3 linked regions of the Caenorhabditis elegans genome follow. The protein of the gene in region 3 interacts with the protein of the main gene of each other region in a pairwise test. Each region holds a gene or a part of one and is shown on either strand. Other genes may lie near its edges. The genes, in order: ifb-2, mpz-4 and tpst-2.

Region 1 (12,075 bases), on a different chromosome or scaffold from region 3:
CTTCTAAAGAAGACCTCCTCCAGTAGTTTTGTATTTGAATATTTTGAATAAATATTTGAGTTTTATTCGTTATCACATTTCATACACAAGCGGCTTTCATTTTGGAAAAACTCACACTCACCCTTTTTGAAAGAAGTTCTGGTCAAGCTGAAAATTACTGCTTGACTCAGAAGCTGTTGACGTTCACATTTTGAAGCTCATGTTAGAATAGATTTTTATTATATGTTAAACTTGATCAACAATATTATATTAATTTAATGAAACTTCATTCATACTGAAATTTTTATTTTTGTTCATTTAGAAAACAAATAATGTTTCTTTTTGGTTTCATCTTTGCAACGGAAAATTAAATATACATATATAGGAATGATTAAAGTATTATTTGAAACGATTAATCGTAATGAGATTAATTAGATGATGGGTGTAATAACTGAAGGAAACGATCGATTAGAATGTGCGAAGCCTTTTCAATTCCGTGACTATTGTACAAGAATGTTTCAGCTTGTCTTCCTTGTCCCCATGATGCGTGAGATTCCATCACAATTGAGTCTGGTGTTAGGTTAATTTCTCCTGCATTGCGCCCGTAAATCTGTAATATTCCGGTTTCAATATGATATCTAATTTTATAATAATTATTACCTTAAGATGTCCGTGTTGTTGAATAACTAAGTGAGATGGGAGACGGAAAACGAAGGCTTGAACTCCATCAATAACACGACGGATTTCAAAGTTGCTTACATCTTCGGCCTGCAATTTTCCAATTTTTCATGTTCAAAATAAAAATAAAGATCTAAACTCACAACTGATCCACTGGTGTTTTCAAGAATGATGTACTTTCCTTGTGGATCGCACTCAACGATGCTCACATTTCCCTTAGCGTGTCTCTTGAATGAGGAACGAGTTTGAACCTCTCCAGAGTCCCAGTGATCTTGCTCGACTGGTACCAATCTGTAGAATTTAATATAACAATTCAAAACTAACGGGGGAAATAAGCTGAAAGTGCAACCAGAAACGTTTTTGAACTTCGCTTGGATAACCGTGGCCCTGCTCGACTACCAATCTTCAAAATGTTATTGTATAATATTATTTACAACTACCAATAAATTATCAACACATTAAACTATTTTAAATTATGAGCCAAGCCAGCAAGCATGACTTAGTACTTGATAATAAATCTTCCCAATTTTTAAATTAAGATGTTACATGTATTAGGTTGGTCCGGAAGTCTTTATTACTTTTTCAATCTTTTATTTCTCGAAGCAAGAGAAACGACAGGATAAATTTTATTTGCTATCATTATCAACAATATACTGTCTACATGTGGGCAACTTATTAATGCCCTGCTAACAGAACCCTTCCGGGCGCGAGTCGAAATAATGCTTGAGTGCCACATTGGTACTTTTATGGGTGTTGAAGATTCTCTGCTCGTGGACACGGGTCATATTTGAAAACGACTAGTATTCAGATGGAGTGAGGTCTGGAGAATACGGTGCGTGAAGGAGTACCATTCAACCATGGCTGGTCTGTTCCTACTATACTTGTTTCGAGAGATGGGGACTAGCATTGTTTTGCTGAAAATAGAGTTGCTTGTACTTCAAGGGTTAACGATCGATGACTTTCTTCAGGTTTCATGGTTAGATAACGTAGATGTCCCCACAAATTATTTTACCCTCAGGTAGCAGTTCCCAGTAGATGGGGCCGTACACTCCCCACCTCACTGAGAGCATGCCTTTTTTGGGGTGAAGGTCGGGTTTGGCGGCATCCTGTGGTGTCTCTCCTTCTCCAATCCACTGAGCACGCTTGTGGTTGTTAACGTAGAGGACCCACTTCTCGTTACCAGTAATGAGCCGGCCCAACCATTGATCGGCCCCGTGGAAAATGAGGAGGGAAAAGGAATCACCCACTAAAAAATAAAGGTTCGCTTGTGTCAAAATGTGAGGTATGAATCGACCCATACGTTTCTTTATTCCAAGAGGTTCCCAGCCTCGTACAATGTTGGTTTGACGGGGCTCAAGTGTGGTTGACAGCTCACGGGTGGTTTGGAAAGGATCCGTTGCCACGGCTTTCTGCAACGTGTCCAAATCCAATTTATGGGGTCTCAGAGTCTTCGAGAGAAAATTCGTCCTTCTCGAAGCTTTGGAACCAATTGCGTTTGATATTATTGTAGAGGACATGTGAATCATAAACATTCTTGAGGAGACTTTCCGAATCCTTCATCGTGGTATGAGAGAGAAAGAGGTACATCAAACCATATCGGATGTGGATCGCACTAGGGACATACATCGTTGGTTAACTAACTTCAGCCCAGAGGGAAGGGAATGAGGTGTTGCTTACAATGCAAACCCAGTTATAAAGACTTCCGGTCCAACCTAATATTAAGAACGTTTAACTGGTAGAAAAGTTTCATTATTTCATACAAAAGCGCATCCACCTGGTTCTGCCGTTCGAATTTGGTATTATAGTTCTGGATTGCATTTTCCCTTAGTGCTGAAAAATATATGTACAGCTTGCAACGTGTTCAATCATTTCCAAAAATTCTGTAGAATGTATTTTAATGTAGTCTCAGTCAAGAGCGAGTCACGACAACTCGGTTCAAAACCACTCCTAATTTTAATTATTATTACTATTATAAAAAACCTTCGAAAACCATAACTAAATGGCTTAAAACAATTGTCGAAAAAAAAAGCGAAAAAAATTTTTTTTAGAAATGGTTTTAGACCGAGTTATCGTGACCCACTTTTGACCAAGAAATTTTTTTTGGGAAGTATCGTGATAAGTACACTTCTTTTAATCATCAATGATTTTGAACTAAAACAATATTGAACAATTTATTTCAAAAAACAATTGGATTGGAATGTAGCAAGTATGTACGTCGAATGATTTTGGGAGTGAAGACAGCAAGGAAAGGATTCAATGGGCATTTCAGAATAAATTTAAATTCATCGAAAAAGAAATCGATTAGATGATGGAGATTTCTTAACGGGAAGAAGCGACCGTCGTCTGGATGTGCGAAGCCTTCTCAATTCCGTGACTATTGTACAAGAATGTTTCAACTTGTCCTCCTTGTCCCCATGATGGGTGAGATTCCATCACAATTGAGTCTGGTGGTGAGTTAATTCCTCCTGAATTGCGTCCGTAGATCTGTAATATTCCGGTTTCAATATGATATCTAATTTTATAATAATTAATACCTTAAGATGTCCGTGTTGTTGAATAACTAAGTGAGATGGGAGACGGAAAACGAAGGCTTGAACTCCATCAATAACACGACGGATTTCAAAGTTGCTTACATCTTCGGCCTGCAATTTTCCAATTTTTCATGTTCAAAATAAAAATAAAGATCTAAACTCACAACTGATCCACTGGTGTTTTCAAGAATGATGTACTTTCCTTGTGGATCGCACTCAACGATGCTCACATTTCCCTTAGCGTGTCTCTTGAATGAGGAACGAGTTTGAACCTCTCCAGAGTCCCAGTGATCTTGCTCGACTGGTACCAATCTGTAGAATTTAATATAACAATTTAAAATTAACGGGGATAGATTAAGCTGAAAGTGCATGTTTTCAGCTAAAAGCCTTGAGATTTGCTGACTAACAAAAATTGTTAGCCAAGAAAATGATAAATAGGTGATGTGAAAAGTAAGCAGTGTGTTGAGATAAGGAAGTGCGTGAAAAAGAGAAAAAGTGCAAGTGAAAGAGCATGAATTGTGAAAGCAATTAGCTATAAACTACTGTATCACTACGAGTAACCTTTGATCTGAAACTAGTACATTGGTACCTCTGCCAATTTGATGTTGAGATGATCTATGAAAACTATACTATGAATAACTAATCTACAATCTAGGATACCTTAAAGTTCCTTGCGGATACACTCTGAAAGGTATTACATATAATATATCTTGATTCTATTAAAGATTCCTACTCAGGATATTGCTGATATTGATGACTGTCAGAGTATTGCTGATCATTTAAAACAACGGGAGTGGAATCCCCTTCTGTTCTGGAAGTCAACTAGGAAATAAAACTAGATTCTAAATATCTACGTGTGCAGTATGTTAATGTCTATGAAGCGGTTATAGCTACCGAACCTTGTAGTCTCCTGCTGGGCGACAACGACCCCCTGTCCAACATGAGTGAATCTGTGAAAGTAAGGAAATGATAAAATGGAAGAATGAGACAATCAATTAAAGTATATGTTGCTCTTTTTGAGAGATATTTTTGTTACTTATATTACCTTCCTTCCTCGGACTCGACAAGCTTTCTGTAGATGGCAATCTCAGTATCCAAAGTTTGTTTGGTGTTAAGAAGAGCTTGAAGTTCAGCAATCAAAGTCTGGCAGTCTTCACGCATAAATCGGAGGGCATTGTCTCTCTTGTGAAGCTCTGATTCGTAAGCTCTTTGATCTTCTCCGAGTTGAATCTGGAGTGTGTTGGCTTCTCTCTCCAAAGCAGAGTTACGGGCTTCGAGCTCGCTGAGCTTGGCTCGCAATGTGGTGATGCTCTCGTTCATCTTTCTGATCTCCTCTTGACGGAAAACGGCAGCCTCGTTCTTGGAGACGATTGATGATTCGACGGCGCTAATCTTGCTCTGGAAGATTGTCTCAAGATCAACTCTGGTGGTTTGGATGATCTTGTCGTATTCAGCCTTGATTTCTCTGAAATAATTTAAATTAGACAATAAAACTATATCATTTTTTTTGAATCCAACCTGATAGCAAGAGCCAATTCATTCTTGAAGAACTCTCTTGTGTCGGCTGGAGCTTGAGCAAGAAGAGTGCGAAGCTCAGTGATTTCTTGAGAGTGGATTCTTCCCAAGAATTCCAGCTCAATCTTGAGGTCATCTTCCTCAGCTTGAAGGCGGCGGCGATCAACAATTGCGGCGTCAAGCTCATCCTTGGCGGCAGCCAATTGAAGATAGAGTTGATCTTGTTCAGCATAAAGTCTCTTTTCCTCGTCCAAAATGGCGGCATAGCGGGACTTGTTTGTGTCAAGCTCAGCTTGTGCTTGTGAAATAGCTCCTCCCCAAGTGGTCTTCTCACGCTCAACTTCACGACGGGCCTCTTCATATCTGAAATATTTGCCATTAGAATGGAATATGCAAATAAATTGTTACCTGTGTCTGTAGTCATTCAAATCATCTCTCAATCTGTCGACCTTAACTTCAACTCCAATAGTTCCAGAATGAGCTTCTGAGATCTCACGGCGAACTTTGACCAACGAATCGTTGAATTTGAACTACAAAACGTTGAGTTTATTATTCTGATGCAACATTATTAACCCCTCAAGATCAATTTCAATTAATTTTATTGGCAATCTTAACACACACATACACACCCATTTCCTCCAGAGCACTACTTGTCATCTTATCAGTGCCATTTTCAGTTTCTCTTTTAAATTCCTTACGCCTGCACATTTGGCAACGGGCGCTTTGTTTGAGAAGAATTGATATTATCTGATAAGAGAGAAATTGTGTCAACAACTAAAAGTGTTTCAGATTCTCCTGTAATTTCGGGGCACAAACCTTGATCTGTCCGATGTCATTTCCAAGTGATCCTCGGAGGGTGTCCAATTCAATCACAAGCTCCTTGTTACGATCCTCAAGTTGACGGACACGGCTGATGTAAACTTCAAGGCGAGAGTTCAACTGCTGCATCTCTTGCTTCTCGCGCTCGGCAGAGGCAACGAACTCCTCAGCGGCATGGCCGGCTGAGACACCTGAAATATTATGTAAACTGTGTTCCGATGTTTAAGCAGTGCTCCAAGAAGGACCATATTTTTTATTGTTATAAACTAAATTTTGTGAAAGTGTCTTATTGTGAAGGGTTTGGAAAAAGCAATACAAACTCATTTTTTAAAAATTAATTTAGTACGAATATGTAAAACAAAAGTCTGAATAAACCTCTGTTTTCCAAATTTTTTCACAATATTAAAATAGAAATTTTAAAAAATAGAGTTAGTTACAGCTAATGTTGTACTTTGAGATTTAAGATATACAATTTTCCGTGTTATATACCGTTTTTCCTATTAGTCTTGCACTCCCACTGCTTCATTTTGACAGCTCATATTAATTGTTGTAGGCTTCATCAAAATTGTTTAATTATAACAATGTAGAGTGATTTTAGTGTTGAAAATTATTTGATGAAATAATAACAATCGAGATATGATTTGTCAAAGTAATGCAAAGCAGGAGCAGAGTAAATTGGTTAAATGTGGCATATTTATTCTTTTTTTTTCACAATTTGGGCTAGCAATCAGAAAATTCCTACTTATAAGAGTGATCTATCTTGTCATAAACAATCTGATTTTTCACTGAAAAGTATTATATGCTACCATCTAGGAACAGGCCATTTTGCAGTTTGTCCCTACGCTGCAGTTCTCGTCTCAATTCTTTATTGATATCGTGAATTAAAAGTTAAGATCGAGTTTAATTTGTCGAAACTTATGGTTTTATTTAAACATCAGTTATTTTAACTTAAGCCCATAATCTAGAGAAACTGCTAGGATTAGTCGGCAATGTGTGAAAGGAGTTCACAACGGTGTCAATAAAGCCGACAAAGAGATTTGAAACAAAGAAAAAGATTGAGACAATGGAGGAGATCAATTTCAGACAAACTAGTGTCACCATATTATGGATTCCTCGGAGAAAACTCTCGAGGTCGTGTGACTGTTGGAAATTTGAAGAAAAGTGCTTACCTCCGTGTGATGAGGAGGATGTAGTTGTGGTGGTTCTGTGCATCGAATAACTAACCGCCGACATGATGAAGTCGCTAAAATTTTGAAAATAAAACAAAAGATGTTAATAACAAAAGAAGATAAAAATAAATAGAATAAGAAAACAATGTTATTTTCACACTTTCAGCAGTTAAAAAACCAACACCAATAATAAACGTTCAATCTTCAAAAAAATAAAGAGTCTTAACACCAAACCGTACAAAACGCGGAGTAGTAGGTTTGATTTTACAATGGCATTTTGAGAGAGCAAAGAAAGAGGGTTATCAGTTGGCAATGCTCGATTCCACTCTCTTTTATGGTGACTTATCAGTCCGAGTTTAGAGATGGAAAACGGAGGGGAGGGGGTGAAAAGAAGAAAAAAAGAAACTACTCTTTCTTACATTCTTTGTATTTATGAAACAAAATGACATTTGACTGGGAATGATGAGGAAGTTGACATTTGAAAAAAGGTGTTAAGAACCGCAAAGTCTGAAACTTTTTACTAGAAACTATGACGAATGAAATGTTAATAAGGTTACAACAGAACATAATCGGCAACAATGGAATATTTCAGAACTGAAACATTTTGTCTTCTAGATTCCTTTCAATTTAATTTTTAAGGATTTACAAATTTATCTGGATTTAATTGACAGAATATTTTCGCTTGTATTGTCATATTCAAAAATGTTTAATTTTAAAAATTCTAGAATTTTGAAGATGTGAAGGTTCAATCAAAATCTCTTCATCAATTCAATTCTCTCTTAAACTGTAATTCAAAAGCTACAAGTATTTCCTGAAAAAACTTTGTTTACTCTTGTTGTCTACTGAACTTGAGGTGTCTTATCTTAAAAAGACCATCTGTGTTATTTTTCACAAAAAAACAGCTACAGTAATTCCTTAAAAGTTCATCGCAATAATTTGATAACAACAAAATAGGTGAATCTTGCAACAGTGAACGAATTCCCTTGTAGGCACAAAAAACTCGAAGGTTACCTACGCGCTGTCTTGTACCTCTAGATTTTGTGCCAAATTGCAGACGAATATAACTAGGTAGGTAGGAAGACCTACCTACCGGCGGAGCGTAACTTTTCAAGTGTTCTGGTTAACATTTTATTCTGATTAAAGAGTTTTGTGAGTCATAAAACCCTTGCTAAAAAGTTCTTAAAAATTGTGCATTTTCGAAATTGAAAAAGCATCGAATTGAAACTATGATTGGAATTCCAAAATAATTCGAAACATCGCTTTAATTATTTAACCTTTAAAAAACTAAAAATCAACCACACCTCTTCTTTTTCAAATATTAAAGTCCGCGAGCTGCTAATCAGCATGAATTGGAATTTTGAAATTTTTGGAAATACAGTGTTTTGTTTTTTTAATACAATTCTTCCGTTTATGCTTCTTTCTCATTTTTGTGGTCAATTACTTTATAAAATTAGCCAAAGTATGAATACCAAAAAACAGGATGTTTAAAGAATTTTGCTTTTGGTATTCTCTACAACTCCATACATCTTGCTCAGTCCTCACGACTAGTCTTTGTACTTTCATTCAAACTTCATTTATCGTGTTCTTCATTTCGCATATTCTCTAACATTTGTTTACAGATGTGTGGCAGGCTTGGTTGGAACTGATAAAACAGCGTACTCCAATTCCTAGTAGAGCTCAAGTTTCCTTATCGTTTTTAACCGATAAAACGCGGACGCAAAAACGAAGACATTTTTGTGTTTTTGAGTGGAATGGAATGTGGTCTAAATGAGGGAGAAATGGCATTGAGTCATTAAAAATGACAGATGATGAGGGAAGGAAGCATATAACTTATGGAACCTTCCTAGGGGGAGTAAATGACTCAGAGTTCGTTTAATCTGAAAACATATTAGGAGAGAACTAACATTCTATAGTGATGAAGGGCTGAATAAACGTTACAGTAATGATTCTGGCCAAGTGTGCGTTGAATCAGAGTCTTGCAACATTTTTGGAGCTAGTTAGGCAACTATAATGGATAACACGATTTCCCTATGGAAGCTTTTTGACATTTCAAACGGAACTTTCAAAAATCTTAAACAGTTTTGAAAAGTATAGGTAAATCATTCAACCTCGTACAACTCGTTTCTCCAAAAATGATAACAGAAGTACTCTGATGTATGTTGGTGTAACTTTCAAAATTGTAGATCATGTTCAAATTTAAAATAAAAATAGAACCTGTTATTTTGGAGAAACTCAAGAATTTGAAGTTTACCGCAAACTTCTTGCCCCTCAACCACACTAATACCCTAGTCTTATTCAAACTTCCAGTACTCTTCTAAAAAATTTTGCAAACACCTGACTCACTAGTTACAGTAATCATACAGTAATCATGTACCATATCTACCTTGAATTTATACTTCTTGTTACTTCTCGCTTTTTTTCGTTGTTGGTCGCCTATTTCATTCAAGTTTGTGTCCTTGTGCACCTAAATTTTTTCTCGAATGAATGTTGACCAGATTGAACGTTTTTTTTGCTCCACCATAAATTTTAAAATGTCATTTTCATTTACACTTCCACACTTTTTGGCACTTTTCCAACCCTCGCAGCACTAATCCGACTTACACCTAAAACCTATCATCTCCTTTTTTCATTTTTTGTGCATTGTGGTGGTAAATACCAAAGACTCAGTTGTAGTACGCAAAGGTTTCTGATGATAAGCTTTTAGGAAAAAACGAGTGAGGAATATTATATTTCGGCGTCAAACAATTTGCGGCCGGGAACTTGCGATTTCTTCCGTTTGTTACTTCGCGGTTTATTATCGTTTTGTTAGATAAGTTGTGAATTGCACGATGGCACGGAAGAAATTGTGTGCAAGGTGAAAGGAATTGAAGTTTGCGTTTTTAGAGCGGAGTTATAGTAATACGTGAAATGATTGTAAAGGGCTATGATAATGCTGATGCAAAATTTTTGAATTCAATATTGAACTTTTCCTAATGGATATATTGTATTTTCAAAATAGCTGTAAAATGCAGTGATCAGAATAAGATCAACAGGGAATTTTGTTAGAATTTCCCAGTTACAATTTTTTAAATTATAAACTAGACTACATTTAGAAACAATATTCGCGAGATCAATATTTAAATCAAAACTAAATCATGATTTTCTCCGATTTTTTAAAAGATTTAAAGCATATTACCCTTAGATAATCTTAAAATACTATAGTTCAAGTGTTCATTTCATTCAGAATAAAGACTATTTTATTCTCAAAAAAAGATTCTTCAAGGTGTGAACTTGAACATAATCATACTAACGCCTATGAGAAAGCATGGTATCACAAGGCAGAAACAAGGAGCAAAGTTACATTTTTAGTTGGAGCAGCGCGTTCAAGGGAGAATTTCAAGTTTTTGGAAAACTGTCCTGTGACCTAAAAATGCTATCTATAGCAAAACTAATTATATTAAATGAAACGGTTGCTCAAAACCGTTTAATTTTTATTGAAAATTACCTTGAAAAGCTTGAAACAATTCTGCAACGTTTTGTTTATCGCAGACCTACTGAAAACAATTAAAATTAGAATAAATAATAAAATTTTGCAGGAAAATGATCTGAAGTTGTTGTAGCCATTTTCAGGAGAAGCTTACAAATACTAATCATCATTTACTATATATAAAGCGCTTATTCTGTGTGTCCATAGTTTGTAGTCTATGTAGTCTTTGTAGTCTGTGAAGTTTTGGCTTCTGGAGGGATAGTGAGTTAGGGTTAGTGTAGGGATATAGTCGGGGTACTGTAGTGGTACAATAGTGGTACGGTAGGAATACTGTAGGGTTACGGTAGTGTCATAAAAAATTAATTTTCAGCCCCAGAAGTCGGGGGCCGCGCCGAAGGTGCGGTCCACGGCTGGTTTGGAAATAATTTGGTCGTTATAAGAAATCAACATGCAAAAGCTAATGGGAAATAGCAAAATTCGAAAGAAACAAAACTGTGATTGCTCTGATCTTTAGTAGTCCCTAGTCTTTGAAAATGGAGTTTGCCTGTGGGGAATGAATTGTGGCTTGCGGATCGGTTTATTTTTTGTTTTGTTATCGTTAGTTTCAGTAGTTTTACCATTATTGCAAACACGTACCCATAATAATCGAAAATATTAAAAAGACCGGATTTTTCATATGGGAATGAAATGCTCTCAGAAATACCGAAAAAATAGAAAAATGTTACATGACTCATTCTCTAAAATTAATATTTTTAAATACCGTCTCATTTTTTACATTTAAAAAAATGCCGGTTCTTTTCTAAAGCTATATAAATCTAATATCAAGAAGCTTATTACTATTTGCGCACGGAGTTTTACGTATGTACTTACAATCTCTCGGAGTGCAAAAAATCGGTATAAATCTTGAGACAAATGCAGCATTCTCATCAAAATGACATCACTAGCGAGCATTTTTAATATTTTCTGATAAGATTCTTTTGTTACATATGTTGAAAACTATTGAAACAGATATGAAAAAAAATTGGGGTTCTTGAAAAAAGTATGAATTGGAAAACCTATAAATTTATTCAATATCTCTGAATCAAGTTGTCAAGTTATAGTAAAAGATTTTGGTGAGTTCAATAATAAAAAGAAAATTCGTCATTTTTTTTTGTTTTCAAATTATTTAAAAGATCCCACCAAATCCCGCGAAGTGCCCAGACTAGTCACAAATGTAATCAAAGTTTTCGATTCAAATATCGAATCCCCTCAACCAGAAAAATCCTAAACTAACTTGACCCTTTTGTGCTACTATTACAATGCCCATCTTATAATAACTGTATAGATGTCTTGATATCGATCAGTCAGTCAGGCAGGTGTTTCTTTCTTTTACAAGCCTTCACCTCTCCATAATTAGCTGTTCCTGGCAGATGTCTTTTCTTTTAATACCTCTGCCACGCTTCCTTTTTTCCAGATTGTATCTCAAGTTATGACATCGATATGCACGTTGTTCCGTATGCAATTACAATTAAGAGGTTCACGCAATCCAGTTACAACCTCTTTATAGGTATGACGTCATGGTTTATGACTTTTATCAGACTATTTGATTTCCAGGTCTTGGAAGTGTGGAGTATGATTTTATTGGATTTTTGGCGACTTCTGAGAGACAATGGAAAACAAAGGTAATTGGCGCCTTATTACAGAAATTATGATCTAAAAAAATATGAGTATTGTTTGGATAATGTTTTATTTAAATGGGCCCCGGAACTAGGAATTCATCTTCTCGGACGTAGTTTTCAAAATGTAGTTTTTCTGTTATTTTTCGAATTGTCCGAAAAATAACAGAATTTTAACAAACAAAATAATGCATTTTCTGAAGTTTAACTTAATAGCAATACTTTTAATTCTGAAAAAATGATGTAGACGGCATCTCGCGGTT
Region 2 (10,255 bases), on a different chromosome or scaffold from region 3:
AATCAAAGAACTGGGTTGGTTAAACTAGACAAATTGTGATCGAAAAAAGTGGTTGAAATGAATTCTTATATCAAGTTTTTCTGAATCTCGTATCTTAAAGGGCATGGATTTATTCAGATGGGCCTTACCGCACAAAAATGCATAAAATGTGTATTTGGTAGCAAGAATTAATTAAGTTTTTCTAAAGTTATTCAATTGTCGAATTTTCATTTGAAAACCGTGTTAAAAAGCGATAATTGTCTTTTTTCGTGGCGAGACCCATCCAACTATGAGCACTTGATTCAGAGAATTGCAAGCTACAATATTAAAAAAAAACGCAACTAATATGAAAAAAAGTTAAACTAAAACCATTGGAATCAAAACCTGAAAATCTTTTATCAAACTGTCTGTGACGTGAAAACTCTCTAAACTCCGCCCTGTCGCAATTCTTAGAGATAGGATACAGAGAGAAAAATGGGAAACCAAATTTGACATTTTTTGTTATTACCTTGATTGATAAAATATAAAATTTGAAATTGAAAACCGAATGTAAACTGTCAATAATATTTTGAGAGGAGATAAGAAACAAATTAGTGAATTGTGTTTTGTTTCCTAGCTAAAAAATTGAACAAATAGAGGGAGAACCACCGGAAAATATCATAGATCAATAAAAAATAGGCACATCGATCATAGGAATTAGTGTTGGCTTATGGTAATTTCGTGGGGAAATTTGTGACAATGAATAATAAGTATGTTTAAATCCAGTTTCCACAATCAACTGTAGGAACAAGCTGGAGCAAAAAATCAGCGGTCTCGTGGTGTAGTGATTATCACATCTCACAGGTAAAGCGCATTTATTAAGCAAAAATCGTAATATATGAAAATTATCATTAATCGGTTGTAGACCTCTGACGGTGTTGTGGCTAGCTTGTTGTTTTTCCTCGTTGTGTCTTTCAGCCATTTCCAGCCAGCAACCATCTCCGCGGAAATCGATTTTCTGGGAAAAAAAATGAATTAATGACTTGAAAATAGTATTTGTATTTTAAAAATATATAAAAGCTCATTTTTTCAAAAATTCAAAAGTCCTGTAAAATCATATGGAGTCATTCTTTTTTATTTCATAAAACTATTCAGCATAGTCAAAAACACCAGAATCTGTCAATCAAAGTATAATAGCTTGTACGGAAGTATTTTTTTAAAAATTGATAAAAATATATAAAAGCTGATTTTTTCAAAAATTCAAAAGTCCTGAAAAATCATATGGAGTCATTCTTTTTTATTTTATAAAACTCTTCAGCATAGTCAAAAATATCAGAATATGCCAATCAAAGTATAATAGCTTGTACGGAAGTTTTTTTTTAAAAATTGATAAAATTATAAAAAAAACTGATTTTTTCATAAATTCAAAAGTCCTGAAAAATCATATGGAGTCATTCTTTTTTATTTCATAAAACTCTTCAGCATAGTCAAAAATACCAGAATATGTCAATCACAGTATAATAGCTTGTACGGAAGTATTTTTTTAAAAATTGATAATATTATGATAAAGCTGATTTTTTCAAAAATTCAAAAGTCCTGAAAAATCATATGGAGTCATTCTTAATTATTTCATAAAACTCTTCAGCATAGTCAAAAATACCAGAATCTGTCAATCAAAGTATAATAGCTTGTACGGGTGTTTTTTTAAAAATTGATAAAAATATATAAAAGCTGATTTTTTCAAAAATTCAAAAGTCCTGAAAAATCATATGGAGTCATTCTTTTTTATTTCATAAAACTATTCAGCATAGTCAAAAATACCAGAATCTGTCAATCAAAGTATAATAGCTTGTACGGAAGTATTTTTTTAAAAATTGATAAAAATATATAAAAGCTCATTTTTTCAAAAATTCAAAAGTATGGGAAAATCATATGGAGTCATTCTTTTTTATTACATAAAACTGCTCAGCATAGTCAAAAACACCAGAATCTGTCAATCAAAGTATAATAGCTTGTACGGAAGTATTTTTTTAAAAATTGATAAAAATATATAAAAGCTGATTTTTTCAAAAATTCAAAAGTCCTGTAAAATCATATGGAGTCATTCTTTTTTATTTCATAAAACTATTCAGCATAGTCAAAAATACCAGAATCTGTCAATCAAAGTATAATAGCTTGTACGGAAGTATTTTTTTAAAAATTGATAAAAATATATAAAAGCTGATTTTTTCAAAAATTCAAAAGTCCTGTAAAATCATATGGAGTCATTCTTTTTTATTTCATAAAACTATTCAGCATAGTCAAAAACACCAGAATCTGTCAATCAAAGTATAATAGCTTGTACGGAAGTATTTTTTTAAAAATTGATAAAAATATATAAAAGCTGATTTTTTCAAAAATTCAAAAGTCCTGTAAAATCATATGGAGTCATTCTTTTTTATTTCATAAAACTCTTAAGCATAGTCAAAATAGCAGCAGATGCCGAACAGAGTATAATAGCTTGTACGGGTGTTTTTTTTTAATTGATAAAAATATATAAAAGCTGATTTTCAAAAAATTTTTCGGGAATTTGAAATGATTGAATAACACATCTAGCTTGAATAATGTTTAACTAAGTATTTTCCACAGCCATTACCAGCCAGCAACCATCTCCGCGGAAATCGATTTCCGGGAAGAAAAATGAATTAATGGCTTGAAAATAGTATTTGTATATTAAAAATATATAAAAGCTCATTTTTTCAAAAATTCAAAAGTATGGGAAAATCATATGGAGTCATTCTTTTTTATTTCATAAAACTATTCAGCATAGTCAAAAATACCAGAATCTGTCAATCAAAGTATAATAGCTTGTACGGAAGTATTTTTTTAAAAATTGATAAAAATATATAAAAGCTGATTTTTTCAAAAATTCAAAAGTCCTGAAAAATCATATGGAGTCATTCTTTTTTATTTCATAAAACTATTCAGCATAGTCAAAAATACCAGAATCTGTCAATCAAAGTATAATAGCTTGTACGGAAGTATTTTTTTAAAAATTGATAAAAATATATAAAAGCTCATTTTTTCAAAAATTCAAAAGTATGGGAAAATCATATGGAGTCATTCTTTTTTATTACATAAAACTGCTCAGCATAGTCAAAAACACCAGAATCTGTCAATCAAAGTATAATAGCTTGTACGGAAGTATTTTTTTAAAAATTGATAAAAATATATAAAAGCTGATTTTTTCAAAAATTCAAAAGTCCTGTAAAATCATATGGAGTCATTCTTTTTTATTTCATAAAACTATTCAGCATAGTCAAAAATACCAGAATCTGTCAATCAAAGTATAATAGCTTGTACGGAAGTATTTTTTTAAAAATTGATAAAAATATATAAAAGCTGATTTTTTCAAAAATTCAAAAGTCCTGTAAAATCATATGGAGTCATTCTTTTTTATTTCATAAAACTATTCAGCATAGTCAAAAACACCAGAATCTGTCAATCAAAGTATAATAGCTTGTACGGAAGTATTTTTTTAAAAATTGATAAAAATATATAAAAGCTGATTTTTTCAAAAATTCAAAAGTCCTGTAAAATCATATGGAGTCATTCTTTTTTATTTCATAAAACTCTTAAGCATAGTCAAAAATAGCAGCAAATGCCGAACAGAGTATAATAGCTTGTACGGGTGTTTTTTTTTAATTGATAAAAATATATAAAAGCTGATTTTCAAAAAAATTTTTCGGAAATTTGAAATGATTGAATAAAACAATCTAGCTGAAATTAATGTTTAACTAAAGTATTTTCCAAAAAATGTTAAATTGTTCCATCACCGATGTTAGATTTTCCAATAATTAAAAAAAAAATTTTTAGGTGCGACCCATCATTGGCTTTTTAGCGGGCCTTCACGTACATTTGGTTAATGTCTCGCTTTTAGCGCTTTACCTGTGCTGTCTAACACACAGAAGGTCGGTGGTTCGAGCCCGCCCGAGATCAGTCAAATGTTTTATTAAAGAAGAATGAAGTTCATTTTTTAACCGGCATGTTCGAAGATGCCGATTCGGTCACCTTGGTCTTCAGCGGCGGGAGCCAAACGAAAAGCTTCGAGTTCCATTCCGCCGGAATAAAAAATTCTTCAGTTGTGTTGTTGAATCCAACAGCCGGGTCCCTGAATTAGTTGAAGATTTTATCTTAATTTATTTAAAAACATACTTTTTGGTAACTTTCGCATCACTCTTCTTCTTCCCAACTTCTCCCGGCCCTTCTTCCTCTTTTAAAATGGGAGCCAACGCTTTTCCATTTTTCAGAGCTTCAATTCCTTCTACAAAGTATTTACGGACATCTCCACAAAGCAAGTATTGCGGTCGTTCGGCAGTTCTCATAACATTCTGCAATTAAAATAGAAGAAAAAAAATGTGAGGCAAATAACCAACTGCAAGCTGTCCCCGAACCATATTTTTGATTGGATCCGTATTCGGATACTCAACCAACAATCGAATCCATCCATTCGCCTCAAATCCTTCGCGAAATCGTTGACGATTATCTGCCAGAGTGTTGATTGGTTTATCATCAACAGCAATAATAGCTTCACCAATATTCAAACTACAATGTGAAACTGAATCCGGAATAGTGTAGTTGACCACCACTTTTCTGTCGACCTGCTGCACGTTCAGACCAAGCTGCAGGTATTTGAATTGGTAGAGAATGGCCAAATCGATGGTGTGATCCTGTGTGGCTAAGATACCTGAAATTATATGAAAATTACTGTTTCACAATAAGAAACAAATATTCAAACTTACCATTTGGAATCTTAGACGTAGACATTCTGTTCTTCAATCTAGCGACCAGAACCGTAATCTTTGTCTCAGATTTTGAGTTCAAAATCTTTCCGACAACAACCTTGAAGTCTGGATAAAGTGAATGTGGTGCTCTCACAGGTTCAGTTTTCCTTAATAAGGTAAATATTTTTCAAGTTTTCATAACATTTGTCCTTACGGTGTAGTCGTTGGCTTCCTCTTAACAGTCTTCACATTTGACTGGAGACTTGCTCCACCGGTGGTCTCGTCGACATGCTCTGTCAATTGTTTCTCATCGAATGAGACAGTCGTACCGTTCACTTGCAAGATGATGTCACCCGGTAGAATTGCTCCTTTGAATGGGCTCGCGTAATGAACACGAGTGACCAACCCATGTCGATTGACGAGTCCGAGTTGCTGGAAATCAAAAACGTTTTACATAAAGTCATTGATGATGTCGCTTACCGTTATTTTATCCTTCTTTGGGAGCTCAAATGTGGCCTCTACAAGCATTTTGTAGCTGTTTGGAACTGGTTCTCCACGCAGAATGACCACATCTTTGACTCGAGCTTCTATCTGAAATACGTGTTTCTAGAATAGAAATAACTTTTAAAATAAAATTATGTTTCACTACTAGTGTACCATTAAAAAAACCATTAAACCATTAAAAAAAAGAAAGTTTGATTCTATAATAAAATATTCTTTCGAACACCCCCGACTGCCTCAATTACTTAGTTCAAGAAATATTGTTCACAATGAAGAAAAATAAATTAATTATTAAAAAAATCTTGAATAAAGTTCAAAAATTATTATTCAAATTTCTCACTGTTTCGATTCCAAATCCAACTTCCAAATTCCAAAAAACCCCTCTCACCTCTCCCTTCTTGAATCCGGGCCGCTCCCAAACCGTGTCTATTCCCTCTGCACCTTCCGGATAGATTTTATATTTGACTGCAGGTGGAATTTCTTGTGGCATCTTTTCAAGCTATCAAATGCTTTGAATTGAATTTGTTTGATACTTGAATTATCGATTGTTGTGAAATAAATTAGAATCGAGAAGAACAATGATAAGAGGGGGTGGGGGGGAGGGAATAAAAAATTAGAGCAATTGATCGAACGTGAAGATAAAATATCAAAGGTCAGAATTATTAAATCTTTTTCAACGTGATTTTCTAACTTTTTTTTAGAACTGAACTTATTGAGAATGTTTTCGGCATAAAACTGCAAAATCGCGTGATTCAAAATCAATCATTTATGTTTTATGTTTTTTCTTGGGACACGATTCGTATGGAATCGTATTAAAATAAATAAATAAATAAATCGTTGAAACGTGTGAGTTTGAAAATTACTTACCAACGAAGCAAATTAAATTGTGAAATCCAAACTTTTTCACCAATTTCGAGAAACTATAGAATTTTTTAAAAACTGTTACTTTGTGTTACCTTTGTTAAAAAAAAGTAATAATAATGTCTTGAAACTGCATTTTTTTTTGAAATTTTTTTCTGCCACTGCTTGTTTAATTAAATTTTTATAGACACTGATATATTAATCAACAACAAGAATATGAACAATTATTTATTGAATATTTCAAAAATTACACGATTGGAATACATCATAAATTACCCATTTTGATATCAATCACATTATCAGCGATCACCAATTATATAATTACAGCAAATTGAAGAAAAAGAGCAAACAAAACCCAATTGAGAGCCTAAAACCGGTGCCTACAAGACGGGGAAGAATGTTTGAAAGAAAATCGGAAAATAAATGCAAAAAATGAATTTTAAAGGCGAGTGATTACGTCTGGTTGTTCTTCGACCTGTTGGAAAAATAAAATATTATATTTAGAAAAAATGTATCAAAAGTAAATTTATTGCAAAAAAAATGAATTAAAGTTGAAAACTAACAGAAAAAGGGTCAAAGCACAAAGGGTTCAAATGAAAGCACACACTGCACTGCACGAGATCAAAAAGTAGGTCAAAAGTGAATAAATTACAGTATTCCATAGGAGTACTGTATGTTGAATAGTTGTAATCTCAAAATGCATAAAAATTAATATTTAAAAAGAAAAAAATTAAGTTCTAACTATAATAAATAAGTAACACACAAACACAAGTACACACAAAATTAGATAATTTGAGCAAATTGAAACAAATAAGAATTCATTATGAAAATTATTTACAAACGCCAGATTTGGATAAAAAGCGGCAGAACCGGATGGAGCACAATTATACCTGAGTTTCCCGCGAATACACGTGGTTTCTATGGCTCCGTCCATCGCCACGGATTACTGTACCCTGCAGTGGTGATGGTTCCTTTGCATAGGCTGGACGGAAATCCGATGATTGAGACCTGTGAATAAATGGCACACAATAGAGTTACAATAGAAGTACGGTAAGTATATCAGAAGTGAAGCAACGTGCTTTAGAAGTGTGTAAAATTTTATGTGAAAACTTACCAGTCATCAGTATTTACATTCAATGTATGGGGTACATTCTGTGGACGTGTACCCATTGGAAGGTGCATTGCATTAATACTTGAAGCTCCTTGGCTGTCCTGAAATATATTATATTAGAAGGGCAAATGGATAATTTTTTGTAAAAACAAAACTGAAAAGTTAGCCCATAAGTATGTTACCCTTGAGATTTTAAAAATTACTGCTTCAAAGTTTTACTGCCTTCAAACAAAGTGAAAAAAAGTTTTGTTCGAAAAATTTAATGGAATGTTTCAACAACATTATAAATTAATAAATATGATTACTGTACAATTAGTAGTGGGACGTGAACTTATTTTGAGTTTGGTTATTCATGGCTAAAAGCATGAAAAATGTCTCGGATAATGCTAACATTTGAAAACAATTAAATTCTAAATGGAAATTTGTCTGTAACTGCACAAAGTTGCAAAAAGTTGAAAAAAAGTTATTTGAAATTTTCCGAAATTATTGTTTCAAAGATTTTTTAAAAATTGCTGATTATCTTTTATTCACTGGGAGTAGTAATTTCATTTTCTGTCTAGGTTTAAATTATCTAGGTTTCCGATTCTCATGCCAAAAAATTTTAAATTCACATTGAACTTACATCAGGCACACTAGAAATAAGCATCGGCTGCAAGTCATCAGAAGTCGGGTGAATTTTCGCATTCGAATTATTCTTTCCCCGTAGATTTTCCACATTTTTGAACAATTTTCCTTTGAGAATGAGTTCTCCGAATCCTTGTGAATGAGAGAATGCGTAACCACTTCTAAGTGATCCACGGACACTTCGTCGAGTTGCTGCCGTGCGTTTGAATGCGGTTCTGAAAGTATTTATTTAAAAAAATAAATTTAATGAAAATTTCAAAACGTTTAAACGATTTCTTGAATGATAGAAACTAAGTTTGAAATTGAATTATGTATGTGAGTACAATTTTTAATCACTATTTCATGCTATCTTCAAATATGGAGCTTCATCGAATAGTATAGTGCTATTGCGAATTGACCTGATCGCACATTAAAATTTTGAAAAGCGAACATACTTTTTATCATCTTTCGCCGATGGTTTCTTGCCCATTTTCTTTCGAATTCTCAGCCTATCAGCAAATGATGGATGTGTATCAAGCCAGAAGAATCGATTAAGCATAACTGGTAGTAACAGTACAACTGAAACCATTAGAATTGAAAACCAGAAGTGAGGAGTAACCATTGTTCGAAAAGCGACACCATATGAGATTGAAGATGATGTTTTGACAATCCATGAAACTGGAAGCCATTCGTAAAGAAGGAAGCAAACAAGGAAATACAGAACAAGTGATCCCCAGATTACAAAATGCGAAATTGCCGTCCAATAACTCGTGTCGAAGGCTATCTGAAAAATTTGAACTTTTGAAAAAAAAAATTATGTTTCAGAAATGTATCAAATTTTTTGACAAAATTAAAAAGCTTATTATTTCTTCTCAAGTTTCAAATAAACAGTTTCAATAAAAAGATACCCATTGTGGTATATGTTAAATTGTGTATAATTATCTTGTGAAAATGTTGAATTTTTTTTTTCATGATCAGTTAAAAAAATCTGCTTCATAAAATGCATTAATTGGTTGTGGTAGTGTAGCTCAAAAATGAGCGGCAAACGATTGTTTCCGGCAAATCGGCAAATTACCGATTTTCCGAATTTGCCGAAAATTTGAAAAAAAATTGTGGCTTTGCATTTTTTTTTCTGGAAATTTTAGAATTTCAATTTCAATCGACAGAATCGTAGGCATTCTATAAATGTTCGGACATCTATTTTGAAAAAAAGTAAACTCTATGAAAATATCTAGAAAAAACGGGGAAAAATTTCAAAAAGCACAGGTTTAAGAGCTTCCGTCTTATAAAAAATCCCTCTGAGAACTTCCGGAAGATTGATGTTCGGTCAACGGAAAGTTGACAATTCGCCTAAAATAAAAATTTGCGGCAAATCGACAAGCCGGCAAATTTTGCCGAACGGTAATCTACATTTTCTACTATTTTTTATGAATATTGAATACTATTGCGTTGCCTTCTTTGTCTAAACTAATTCTTATCAAAGTTTCAATCAAATCACATATACTTTTATTCTCAAAGTATGTTTCAATATGGTCACAAAATGTTTAGAACAATTGATTTACGCTAAATTGAAATTTAAAAAAACCCATACCTGTCCAGTAACAACTACAACTAATGCAGTAAAAGTAGTGAAAGCAAGAGCCGAGTAATCGTCCAAATCCTTTCCAGAAGCAGCAGCTGCGTTGTAAAATGCACCATATGGAATGAAGAATATCACAAGGGAACTGCAACAAATATATGTTTGAAGTATTCTGAGAAGCTATGAAAGAAATGTTATGAATATAAATATTTTTTAAAAAAATTTTTCTATTTTATTAACTTTTGAAAATGAATTTTTTTTTTCATAATTTTGTCTGTTTCAATAAGTTGGAACAAGCGTAAAATGATTGGGGATCACCTTGATTTGGCAAATCTTTTAAGAAAAAATAAAGAAATCTCATCATGAACTTTCTTGACTTTTCTTGACTGAGAAATGTGATAGCAGAAATATTTTTTAAAGAAGCAATACAAGAACAAATAATTACCAAAACTGTATTTCTTATAAATTTTTTGAAACAGTAGAATTTTTTGTTTAAAAGCAATTGTTTTACTTTTAAAGTTTACTGTTTAATTCCTTACCTAAACATTCCATGAAGTACAGAATAAATAAATATTCTCATATTAAAGAACAAATTGAACTGTCCCGGCAGATAAAGCTTAGGATATCTCAGTGAATAATGATCATCAACATCTTGATCCAAAGATCCCATTGCCAAAACAGGAAGTGCTGTGAAAAAGAGATTGTAACAAGCAATCAATACAGCGTCAAAAACTGTTTGAGCAGAATATCCACAGAAGAATGAATACCAGAAGTTGGTAAGTGTAAATGCAAAGTTTTTGTAAAAAAAGTATCTGAGGAACTTTGCCATTCGAATGTAAGACCATCGACCGTGAACAAGAAGAAGACGTTCAAGATATT
Region 3 (10,181 bases):
ATTTAATTAAAAAACTTGAAAAGATTGACAAAACTTTTTTGTTGATTTTTCGAAAAATTTAAATAAAAATAACCAAAAAAAATGACGTCACACAAAACGAGAGCAGAAAAACACGCGTGATGTCACACCATACGAAATTAAAATTCCCGCAGTTTTTGAAATTTGAAAAAAATACACGTGACCACTTACTCTCTAATCCATGTTTTATTTTCATTTCAATTCATTTTTAGTTTTTCATCCATTGAGTTGCAGTTAAAAATGCGAATCTTCCCTAATCTTATCAATCTGAACAGCCTGACGGAAACGAAGCTTCTCGAATTATCATCACACTTTGTGGCTGGAAACCATGTGGAATTCCCGTCAGATCGCAAATTTGAAGTGATTGAACCCAGGAGTGGTAAGTTAAAATTAATTTTTTTTCCAAGTTCAACTGAATACAACTGTAACTTCTGTTCAGGAAAAAAATTCAAGCAAATTTTTGAATAAGGAATGTATTTAAATCAGGCGGCGTTCGTCAAATCGGCAAATTACCAATTTGCCGGAAATTTTCAATTCCGCCAATTTGCGGATTTGCCGGAAATTTTCGAATCGATCAATTTGCCAATTTGCCGATTTGCCGGAAGTTTTCAATTCCGGCAATTCGTCGTTTTGCCGATTTGCCGGAAATGTTTAATTCCGGCAATTTGTCGTTTTGCCGTTTTGCCGGAGATGTTCAATTCCGGTAATTTGCCAATTTGCCGGAAATTTCAATTCCGGCAATTTGCTGATTTGCCGGAAATTTCAATTCCGGCAATTTGCGGATTTTCCGAAAAAATCATTTACCTCCCACCCCGGATTTAAATTATATGAATCTACAAAAAATAAAAAAAATAAAAAAACTATTTAATTTTTTTGAGTTGAAAAAGTTGTTCTCGACTTTTTTCCAAAAAAAAAAAACTGCCAGATGGAAAAAAAATGTTTTTTAAACCATCGAATCTTTCCATTTCTCAATTTTAATAACTTTTCATCTGAAAATGTTTAAAACATTTTTTTCAGGAAAACCCATGGCCACGTGGCACTATGCAACTAGAGATCAAGTCGATTTGACAGTGAAAGAAGCCAAAAAAGCACAAAAACAATGGGCAAAATCTTCATGGATGGAACGAAGCGAAATTCTGAAAAAGACTGGAGATCTTCTGAAAACTCATTGCAACGATATTGCCTACTGGGAGTGTATTAGTAATGGAAAACCAATTGCAGAAGCAAAAGCTGACGTGCTTTCTTGTGTTGACACTTTCTATTTTTATTCCGGAATTGGTAAGTGCATAATAATGTTTGGTTCTAGAAAATGACGACAACTGCAGTCATGATAAGAGATTTTCAAAAAACAATAAGCGTTCTCTAATTTTTGATTTTTTGAGTTGTTTTGTAGGTGTTCTATAGCATTTTGATATCAAAAAATTATAGAAAATTCATTTTCGAATACCCTGATTAGATATGCGCTTTCTAAATGGCTGCCTACAGTAAGATATATGTGACGTAACCCAATTCAAATTCCCGCTCATCTCCCGTTTTGGCATAATTATCAGCAACAAATGACATACAAATCCTGATCTCCAAAATCTAGCATCTGACCTTCTCGGTCAACACGTTCCACTCGATGCTTCTCGTTACGCCTATACACGCCGTCTTCCTGTTGGAGTGGTCGCCGCCATCGGTGCCTGGAACTATCCAATTCAAACATGCTCCTGGAAAACTGCACCAGCACTGGCCTGTGGAAATGCTGTCATATATAAGCCCAGCCCGCTGTCACCCGTAACTGCACTGATATTGGCTGAAATTTTGAAAAGTGCTGGACTACCGGATGGAGTGTTCAATGTTATTCAAGGTGACGCTGAAACTGCACAAGATCTCATTCATCATGATGGGGTATCAAAAGTATCATTCACTGGAAGCATCCCAACTGGAAAGAAAATCATGAAAGCCTGCGCCGATCGAAATATCAAGCCAGTAACCCTGGAACTTGGTGGAAAATCCGCATTGATCGTGTTCGACGACGCCGATATCGACTCGGCGGTGTCTTGTGCAATGATGGCTAACTTCTACAGTCAGGGACAAGTTTGTTCTAATGCTTCAAAAGTTTTGGTTCATAAAAGTGTGCTGAAGGAGTTTACGAAGAAGTTGGTAGATCACACGCAGAAGATGAAAATTGGTGACCCTTTGAAAGAGGATACTCAAGTTGGATCCCATATTTCTGCAGAGCATCGTAACAAAGTCGAAGGGTATATAAGTAGTAAGTTTAGAAATTTAAGTAGATTCTCAATAGTACACCATTATTTAGCTGCCATTGCCGAAGGAGCCACCAAGCTTTGTGGTGGAGATCGTGTGGCCGTTCATGGCCTCGAGAATGGATTCTACTTGTCTCCATGTATTTTAACAGGCATTACACCCAAAATGACAGTATATCGGGAGGAAATCTTTGGATCCGTACTTCTAATCATTCCATTTGATACCGAAGATGAAGCTATTAAAATTGCAAATGACACCGATATGGGATTAGCTGCGGGTCTAGTCACGAAGTAAGAGTACCCTATTAAAGCATGTTCAATGAAAATCTCATTATTCCAGAGACCTCTCAAGATCCTATCGAGTATCTGAGCAGTTGAATGCTGGAAACGTCTATGTCAATACCTATAATGATGTTTGTAAGTTGCTCCGAATCCCACTAGATCTAGAAAAGAACCTGTAATTTCAGCGCCACTGGTTCCATTCGGAGGAGTCGGAGAATCAGGATTCGGACGTGAAAACGGAACAGCAGTACTCGAACATTATACTCACCTGAAGTCGGTCTTTGTCAATACCGGAACGTGCCCCAACCCATTCTAATGAGTCTTCAAATGTACAAATCTTTATACTTTACTAGTTAGACGAACGGATCGAGAATAAATTATTGCTTTTAGAAGTGTATTTCAACTTCAGAATTGAAACCAATACTCCACAAAGTTATGATATAGTGTTTTTGGTATTTCGAACATTGGCAAGTCAGGTTGCTCAATTATTAATACTATTACAAGTTCCAAAACGTAGCACATCCTGACAGCGCTGTATAATCAAGTACTGAAACAAAACACGTTTATTAGAATTTTAGAAAGTAATTATAGTACATTCAACAAAAATACACATATTAATTGGAAAACCCGTAGATCATTAGGTTTAATTAACTCCTGCTCTGGCGACAGTGAATGGGTTCTCTACTGGAATATGTCCAGCGTTGGCGATGACAACATCCTCAATTGGCCGATCTCCAGCTCCTTTTGGTGTAGCCTCGATCTCACGAACTACGTCCATTCCTTCCAGGATCTTACCGAACACCACATGCTTTCCATCGAGCCATGAGGTTTTGGCGGTAGTGATGAAAAATTGAGATCCATTGGTATCTTCTCCAGCGTTGGCCATTGACAACCATCCTGGTCCGTAGTGTTGAAGCTTGAAGTTCTCATCTTCAAAGCGCTCGCCGTAGATCGATCGTCCACCGGTTCCGTCGCCACGTGTGAAGTCTCCACCTTGAATCATGAAGTTTTCGATGACACGGTGGAACTTGCTACCAACGTATCCTTCTCCCTGAAAATATTAAAGTCTACAGAATTTAATTAACAAACTGAAATACCTCAGCTCTCTGTGCCAACTCAACGAAATTCTTCACTGTCTTCGGCACGACCTCTCCGAAAAGTCCGATGACGATTTTCCCAACAGGTCTTCCTCCGATCTCCATGTCAAAGAAGACCTTGTCAGTGACACGTGGTCCACGTGCCTCGGCTGACAAAGCCAGAATGGCGAGAACGAAGAAAAGAAGAGCACGGCTCATCTGGAAACTTGTTGAGATTTTGGATGCTCATTTTCATAGTAATATAATTAGAGTAGTATATGGTAAAAGTCGGATTTGACATAAAATATGATTTTTAAAAAAACCTCAAAGTAAGAATTTAGTTTCAAAATTAATCGTTTGAAGTTAAACAAAATTCTAATAATTTAGCCTATCAAAATTTAATCATAAGATTTCTAGTTCCTGATCTTTTTTCCCCTACTTTGTACTTTAAGTACTTAAGTACTAAGTACTAAGTTATAATAAATAAATATTTTATTTATAAATATAATGCATAGTATTTAATTTAACTAACAATGTAAGCAATTTTCTAGAAATCCAACAGCATGTATTTAATTGTAAGTATATTAATTGCAAGTTTTATTTTTCAAAAAATATAGAAGAATGCATTCAAAAATCCTGTTCGAAAAGAAAAAAACGACAAAAGAAAAATCGATACAGCTGCAGGAAGCAGCCGTGTCCGGCGGAATAGTGGACATTTGTGCGTGCGCGCATTCTTTTTTATAGTGTTGCAGAGAGTGTGGAGAATTAGAAAGTTACCTTGACCTCTATCTGAAAACAATGGGAGATAATGATAATGATGTAGGTTAACAGTTGTATCTATAGATAAAAATAAAATAATAACAATCTATGATGTAGGTAACTTTGGACATCTTATTTTCTATAAAAGTTATAGGTTACAGTGCAAAACTTTAAGAATAAAAATTTTTAAATTGGTAAAAATCGTCATCCGCAAATGTGGAATAATCGGGTTTTGAAATCGACGTATCGTATCCAAGAATTCCCAAAAAAGGTGCCACGTCATCAAGTTTTCGTAGAGTTTCTTCACTAAAACAATCAAACCACGAGGTTAAGGCTTTAGTGTTTATCGAGTTTTTAACTTGTGATGCAGAGAATTCTTGACTGCAAAATTAAGAGATAGTTGAAGTTCAAAAGTTTTAATGAAGAAAGCACATACTCGTTTAAATCAACTTCGTCTCCAATTAAATCTTGATGTCTTAGCATTTGCTGGGAAAATGGCAGATCCAGGAAGTTGGTGATACGTAGGATTTCTTCCGCAGGTTTTTGAATCAGTCGTTCATAATATACTTTTATGCATTGCCCTGGCGCATTATTGCATTGAAAAGTCATTTTTCGAAGCTCCTGATTCCACTGAACAAACATTGACTAAATGTTTCAAATTATCTTTAGAAATTCAAGAGTTTCATTAGGGAGACCTTACAATTTCATCAGACGTATTATACCCAGCAACTGGTACTTTTCTTTCTATCATTGAATGAACTACGGCACGAGCATCTCGAATCATCAGAATAAACTTTGCATTCGGGTACAGTCGGCGAATAGTCGGAAGCCACAATGCGGTGTATGGATCCTTGTTGCACAGACGAGGTGCTAGTTCACTGTGCTTCGCGACTATCTGTATGAATTGCAATTAAAGATGAACACGGTGACAAGAGCACTACCTCAGTGATGAATGCTGAAACAGCGTCGTCAAATACTTCCTGAGTAATTCCTGAATTATTGACCCAATCATTCCGCCAGCCTGCTTGCCATGTAAGGAAACTTGGAAGCAGCATGGTTTCACCGCCACTGAAAGTTTGAAGTGAGCAGAAGTAATACGTTTTGTTTTTTCTGAATAAGAAGTATCATATTGTCAAGAAAAAGTCTTGACTTCAGAAAGCCTTGTTTCGACGGAGTTTAAAAGTTTTAAAGGAGAAGAAATTCAAGATCTTTTGGCCAAGCGCAGCATACATCGCATTTTTGAAATTTTCTAAATTTACCATCGAACATCCGGATGTGCATCTAGAATAGCTCTCATCAAAGTAGTCCCACTTCTCGGCACACCACCCACAAAAATCAGCTGCTCCAAATTTGAGAGGAGTCGTCTCGAGTGTCGAGCATCTTGCTCATTGAAGATTAAGCTCTCTTTTGAAAGACTTAGCTGTTCTAACTTTTCCTGAAGTTTCTTACTGAAAAATTACCATTTTCAAGTAGAACCCACGATACACTTTTAATTACCACTTTATTGAAGAGAATATCAAAAGACAGATTGTAAAGCAAAAAATGAAAATATAGATAAAAAAGCTGAAACCTTGGGATAAAATTCTTCGATTCAACATGCTCAGGGAAGTCAAATAGAAACTACGGCTGGGAACAGTTAATATATTCAAAAATTAATTCAATAGTTGCACAAATATTTGAAAGCATATTATTAAGCGCGGTATACATCAGCGATTGAATATAAAATCAGGAGAAAGAGGATAAATGGCGCCTGGAAATTTGTTGGGCAGTAGAGAATTGCTTGAAGATCTCTGTGAGACACTTTGTCGTTTTGCAAAATCCTTCTTCTTATCAATTATTGTGGCCGTCATCATTTTTGGTCGACTTACTGCCACTTCGCTGGAAATTACCTGAAATTTCGTGGGGCAAATTGTGATCCAGTGATGGATGATAAACTGTGCTGAGAAGATGAATTATTCAAATAATCAAATTTATTACAAAAAGAGGTCATCAGTTTGCTGAAAAAATACAAAACCTCTGAAGATCAGTGAGGTGTGGTAAAATTCAAGTGAAAGCGTGGTCCGATCATAACGAGCTGATGTCCAGCGTAGAATGATTCCGGCTCGAGTCCGTCGACACGTAGCGGATTTTTTCGTCGAAAATCTGAAGAAAAGCGTGATATTGTGTGTGTAGCCTAGTTTATTACGAACTTGAACATTTCCACCACCAGGCCGATGATTCATATTGTCCTTTGACCCAACCTTACTCTCGGCTTTCCAGTTCAATTTTTGACTTAATATCTGAAAATCAATAGCTGCAATATGAAAAGCCACCACGTCAAATTCAAGTTCACTCGTGTTTCAAATTCTTAATCTTCAAAATACCTGAACATTTCCACCAGCAGGCTTATGCGCTGCGTTGTCCATTGACCCAACTTTTGATTTAGCTTGCCAAGTCAACTTCTCCGAAACTATCTTCACGTCAGACTTTGCTGGCTGATAATTGGTTTTCGAGCCAACCTTTGGTGAAGCTGCCGAAAAATCTAGCTTCCTGTTTTCGATTTGAACGTTTCCGCCTCCGGCAACGTGTGTTGCGTTTTTCAAGGAGCCAACTTTGGATTGGGCGTTGTAGAGCTGAAATAACTGAATGTGTAAAAAATATCTAGGTTTTGATAATGCAACTTCTGGCGAACATCCTTATTTGGTGTTCTCCAAAAATGAGATCTACAAGACCGATTTGTTCAGCTCTTTTTTGAGCTAAACAGCGACCTTCATAAACGTCATCTGATTGGCTCAAATCGCAGAAAAATTTTTTAATGTTCACTCACTCTTTTCTCCGAGAAAATTTCCACATTTCCGCCGCCCGCCTTATGATTGGTGACACTTCCCACTTTGCTCTTCACATTTACAAATTTGGCGTTAACCTTTGGCGTCATTCTTCCAACATTATCGATGCTTCGCGTAGACGTGGATTTTTGAACATCCGACCGTTCTCGAGACATTTTTCTGAAGATTTGTTACTTTTTTACTAATTGGCTATAATAGGGATTATTCAAGCCAAGCAAAATTTTCAATTTATGGTCAATCAGTAATGATAACATTCTATATATAAGTAACAACTATATGTAATAACTCAAATTCTACGTGGAAATGTGAGAAAGTTTGAAAAATTGAGATCGCAGGTGCCATAAAAGAAATAGGAGCAGTTGGGTGCACAACAATAGAGGAAGCAATTATGTTTTGCAATACCCAGACAACAAATATTCCGCACCAAGTTTAGGTGATGTATTTTCACTATGGGATAGTTTCAGGAAATGAGTATAGATACGTCCATTAGCAAACTTAGATCTAGTTATTTACTACCACGAATGAAAAAAATAGGCAAAGATACGTCTAATACATATAAGCGCAGAGAAATGAAAAAAAAAAACGTATTTTGGATACAATAAGACGGACAGAACCAAACCCATCTTTAATCTTCAAATAACTCGAGAAATTGTTATGAAAAAATAAACACTCACGATATGGGTCTCGGAGATGGCGCTGTTGAAGCAGTTTGTCTTGGTGTACTAATAGCGCGTTGAGACGAGGGAGTAGCAGTTGCTGGCCTAAAACAAGGAAATGCTCAGAATTTGTGATGAGTGGTCACTAGGTGAGCAACAAATGAAAAAATTACCTTGGCAAAGATGCTGGTATCGGTTTTGGCTGTCGCAGAATCGCCGTTGGTGGCCGAATCCCAGATCTTTGTGGGGTCTTATGTTGGGGTTGTGATGGAGTTGGGCTCATTTGTTTCTTCTCCTCGACTCTCTCGTTTTCATTGTTCTGCATAATTCTGTCGGCTTGTTGATCGGAGGTACCAGACGTTTCGGAAAAGTTTAGAGACTCGAGCTCTCTCGGAGCGATATCTTCCATTGTTGGGGCGTCGGGGATCGGACTCGAAGGCTTGGATTTTCCAGATTTTTCAGGTTCTTGTTCTCGAGGAGGAGATTCTGAAAATCTAGAGATTAAGAATGCTGAAGATTACATTTGAAACCTACCGACTACAACTTCTTCTTCCTTCTCGACTACTGGTTCGGGCTCTGGCTCCGGTTCAGGCTCTGGCTCCGGCACAGGTTCAGGTTCTGGCTCCGGTTCAACCTCTGGTTCAGGCTCCGGTTCAGGTTGATACTCTGGCTCAGGCTCTGGTTGTGGCACCGGTTCAACTTCTGGTTTAGGCTTCGGTTCAGGCTCCGGTTCAGGCTCCGGTTCAGGCTCCGGTTCAGGTTCTGGTTCCGGTTCAGGTTCGGGCTCCGGTTCTACTGCAACCTCCGGAAAAGAGCCCTGACTATACTGAGTTTCCTAAAACTAATAATTTTAAAATTTTCTCCAATAAAACTGAAAAGACAAACACAGAAGCAAAACGCGAAGTATATCTCAAAAATATTCCGAAGGGTGTCAATTTCTGTGTATTTGAGTGTGTCACAATGTATTCAGATGGGTGGTAGGAGGTGTATTCATGTGTAGAAGTGAATAGGCAAAAAAGGGGGGGGGGGATAAATGGTAAATGTGCCATAAATGTGTCCTTGAGATTTACAATTCACACCGACAAACCGAAATCGGGATGGATCAAAGAATTGTGAGGACTTAAAACATCAAAGTGGAGTTTAACGGGAGAATTAGCAGTTTCCTCGAAATTTAACCCACAAATTGGTAATTTTTTGGGGATATTGTTATTGTACATCAATATGTGTACACTAAATAAAGGGCGGCGTGGAAATAGTGAATAATGTACAAACAGTGAGAGAGAGACACACGATGCGATGTGAAATTGAATACCAACAGAGCTTTTGGGAAGAGAAAATAAAAATGAAGAAAGGGAAGGATAAGGGATTTACTATTTTAGTGGCTTTTGTTAGATCTATGTGGCGATGTGGTCGTTAATTAGGTTTGCCGATTTGCCAATTTGCAGCAAATTTTCAATTCCGGCAAATTTCCTATTTGGCCAAAATGTTATGAGGGACGGAAACACTTAAAATTGTGCCTTTTCGAAACATTTTCCCGTTTTCTTTTTCCGGCAAATTTGGAAAATCATCAATTTTTAGTTTTGCTCGGTTATAAAAATAAAACTGAAAATATATTCCATTTTTCGAAGCTCGATGAAAAATATATTCAGAAAAACATTAGCACAAATAGAAATTGGTTTTCCCCCTCCTTACAAATTAATTGAAAATCTCTAAAACTACAGACACATGACTTCAGAGTGGTCAGGAATAACAAAAAAAAGCATTCTGCCAAGTGAAAAAAAGAGAAAAAAACTGGCTTTCCACGGGGTCAACCCGGGAAAGAGTAAGTATCCATAAAAAATTTAGCGTTTTCTTTTCTTTTCGCCCTTCTCCTGACAACACCCGTCGGTGTATAGCTGTGAGAATTGACAAACAGTCGAGTGAGAAGCAAAACATTGCAACACGGGCAAAAAAAAACATAGAAATACACTCGAAAACGCAAATGAGAGAGCAAATATTTTTTGTGCATATTTTGGTGGACAGGTTAGGTGGGCTCATTTTTGTTGAATAAAATTAGAAAATTAAAGTGCTAGATACTTTTGTATATGAAAACTAGCTAAACTTTAACATTTTTGGCAACTTCTCCAAATGATGCCACTCAAAAATAGGTTTATAAAACATCTCAAAATATGTACAGAAAGAATTAAAGGGATATCTATTTTGCTTGAAATACAAAGAATTCAGTTCATTTATCCTGTGTCTGAAATTCAAGTATGCCCAAAGTAAGCTTGCCGATCTTGAAGAGCTTCAAGCTTAAAGAGGAGTTTTGCTGAGGTG

Evidence for each region.
Region 1: the proteins of tpst-2 (region 3) and ifb-2 interact in a two-hybrid assay, tested with the Caenorhabditis elegans proteins (one large-scale study listed by BioGRID).
Region 2: the proteins of tpst-2 (region 3) and mpz-4 interact in a two-hybrid assay, tested with the Caenorhabditis elegans proteins (one large-scale study listed by BioGRID).

The regions. Positions count from the first base shown.
Region 1 is NC_003280.10:5,744,880-5,756,954, reverse strand, and holds ifb-2 (Intermediate filament protein ifb-2), read right to left. Parts: upstream 6,756-12,075; coding exon 6,692-6,755; intron 5,714-6,691; coding exon 5,520-5,713; intron 5,234-5,519; coding exon 5,112-5,233; intron 5,067-5,111; coding exon 4,707-5,066; intron 4,654-4,706; coding exon 4,234-4,653; intron 4,139-4,233; coding exon 4,088-4,138; intron 4,000-4,087; coding exon 3,922-3,999; intron 3,873-3,921; coding exon 3,849-3,872; intron 3,501-3,848; coding exon 3,353-3,500; intron 3,300-3,352; coding exon 3,192-3,299; intron 3,142-3,191; coding exon 2,977-3,141; downstream 1-2,976. Other genes in the region: F10C1.8 (LTD domain-containing protein), read right to left, coding at 407-589, 640-747, 801-948, 2,432-2,475; F10C1.9 (Lamin), read left to right, coding at 11,806-11,818. UniProt on the Caenorhabditis elegans protein: Cytoplasmic intermediate filaments provide mechanical strength to cells. Not essential protein.
Region 2 is NC_003282.8:4,821,554-4,831,808, forward strand, and holds mpz-4 (PDZ domain-containing protein), read right to left. Parts: upstream 5,768-10,255; 5' UTR 5,713-5,767; coding exon 5,611-5,712; intron 5,313-5,610; coding exon 5,202-5,312; intron 5,154-5,201; coding exon 4,936-5,153; intron 4,889-4,935; coding exon 4,740-4,888; intron 4,685-4,739; coding exon 4,374-4,684; intron 4,329-4,373; coding exon 4,153-4,328; intron 4,109-4,152; coding exon 3,967-4,108; 3' UTR 3,935-3,966; downstream 1-3,934. Other genes in the region: tat-2 (Phospholipid-transporting ATPase), read right to left, coding at 6,523-6,558, 6,974-7,091, 7,198-7,295, 7,817-8,033, 8,253-8,581, 9,389-9,521, 9,916-10,255.
Region 3 is NC_003281.10:767,077-777,257, reverse strand, and holds tpst-2 (Putative protein-tyrosine sulfotransferase), read right to left. Parts: upstream 6,001-10,181; 5' UTR 5,682-6,000; coding exon 5,644-5,681; intron 5,453-5,643; coding exon 5,326-5,452; intron 5,280-5,325; coding exon 5,085-5,279; intron 5,030-5,084; coding exon 4,821-5,029; intron 4,766-4,820; coding exon 4,555-4,765; 3' UTR 4,223-4,554; downstream 1-4,222. Other genes in the region: alh-11 (Aldehyde dehydrogenase domain-containing protein), read left to right, coding at 253-397, 1,036-1,296, 1,607-2,272, 2,321-2,558, 2,608-2,684, 2,735-2,865; cyn-6 (Peptidyl-prolyl cis-trans isomerase 6), read right to left, coding at 3,193-3,600, 3,647-3,844; ptl-1 (Microtubule-associated protein), read right to left, coding at 6,091-6,273, 6,748-6,996, 7,191-7,368, 7,884-7,970, 8,039-8,351, 8,400-8,700. UniProt on the Caenorhabditis elegans protein: Catalyzes the O-sulfation of tyrosine residues within acidic motifs of polypeptides, using 3'-phosphoadenylyl sulfate (PAPS) as cosubstrate.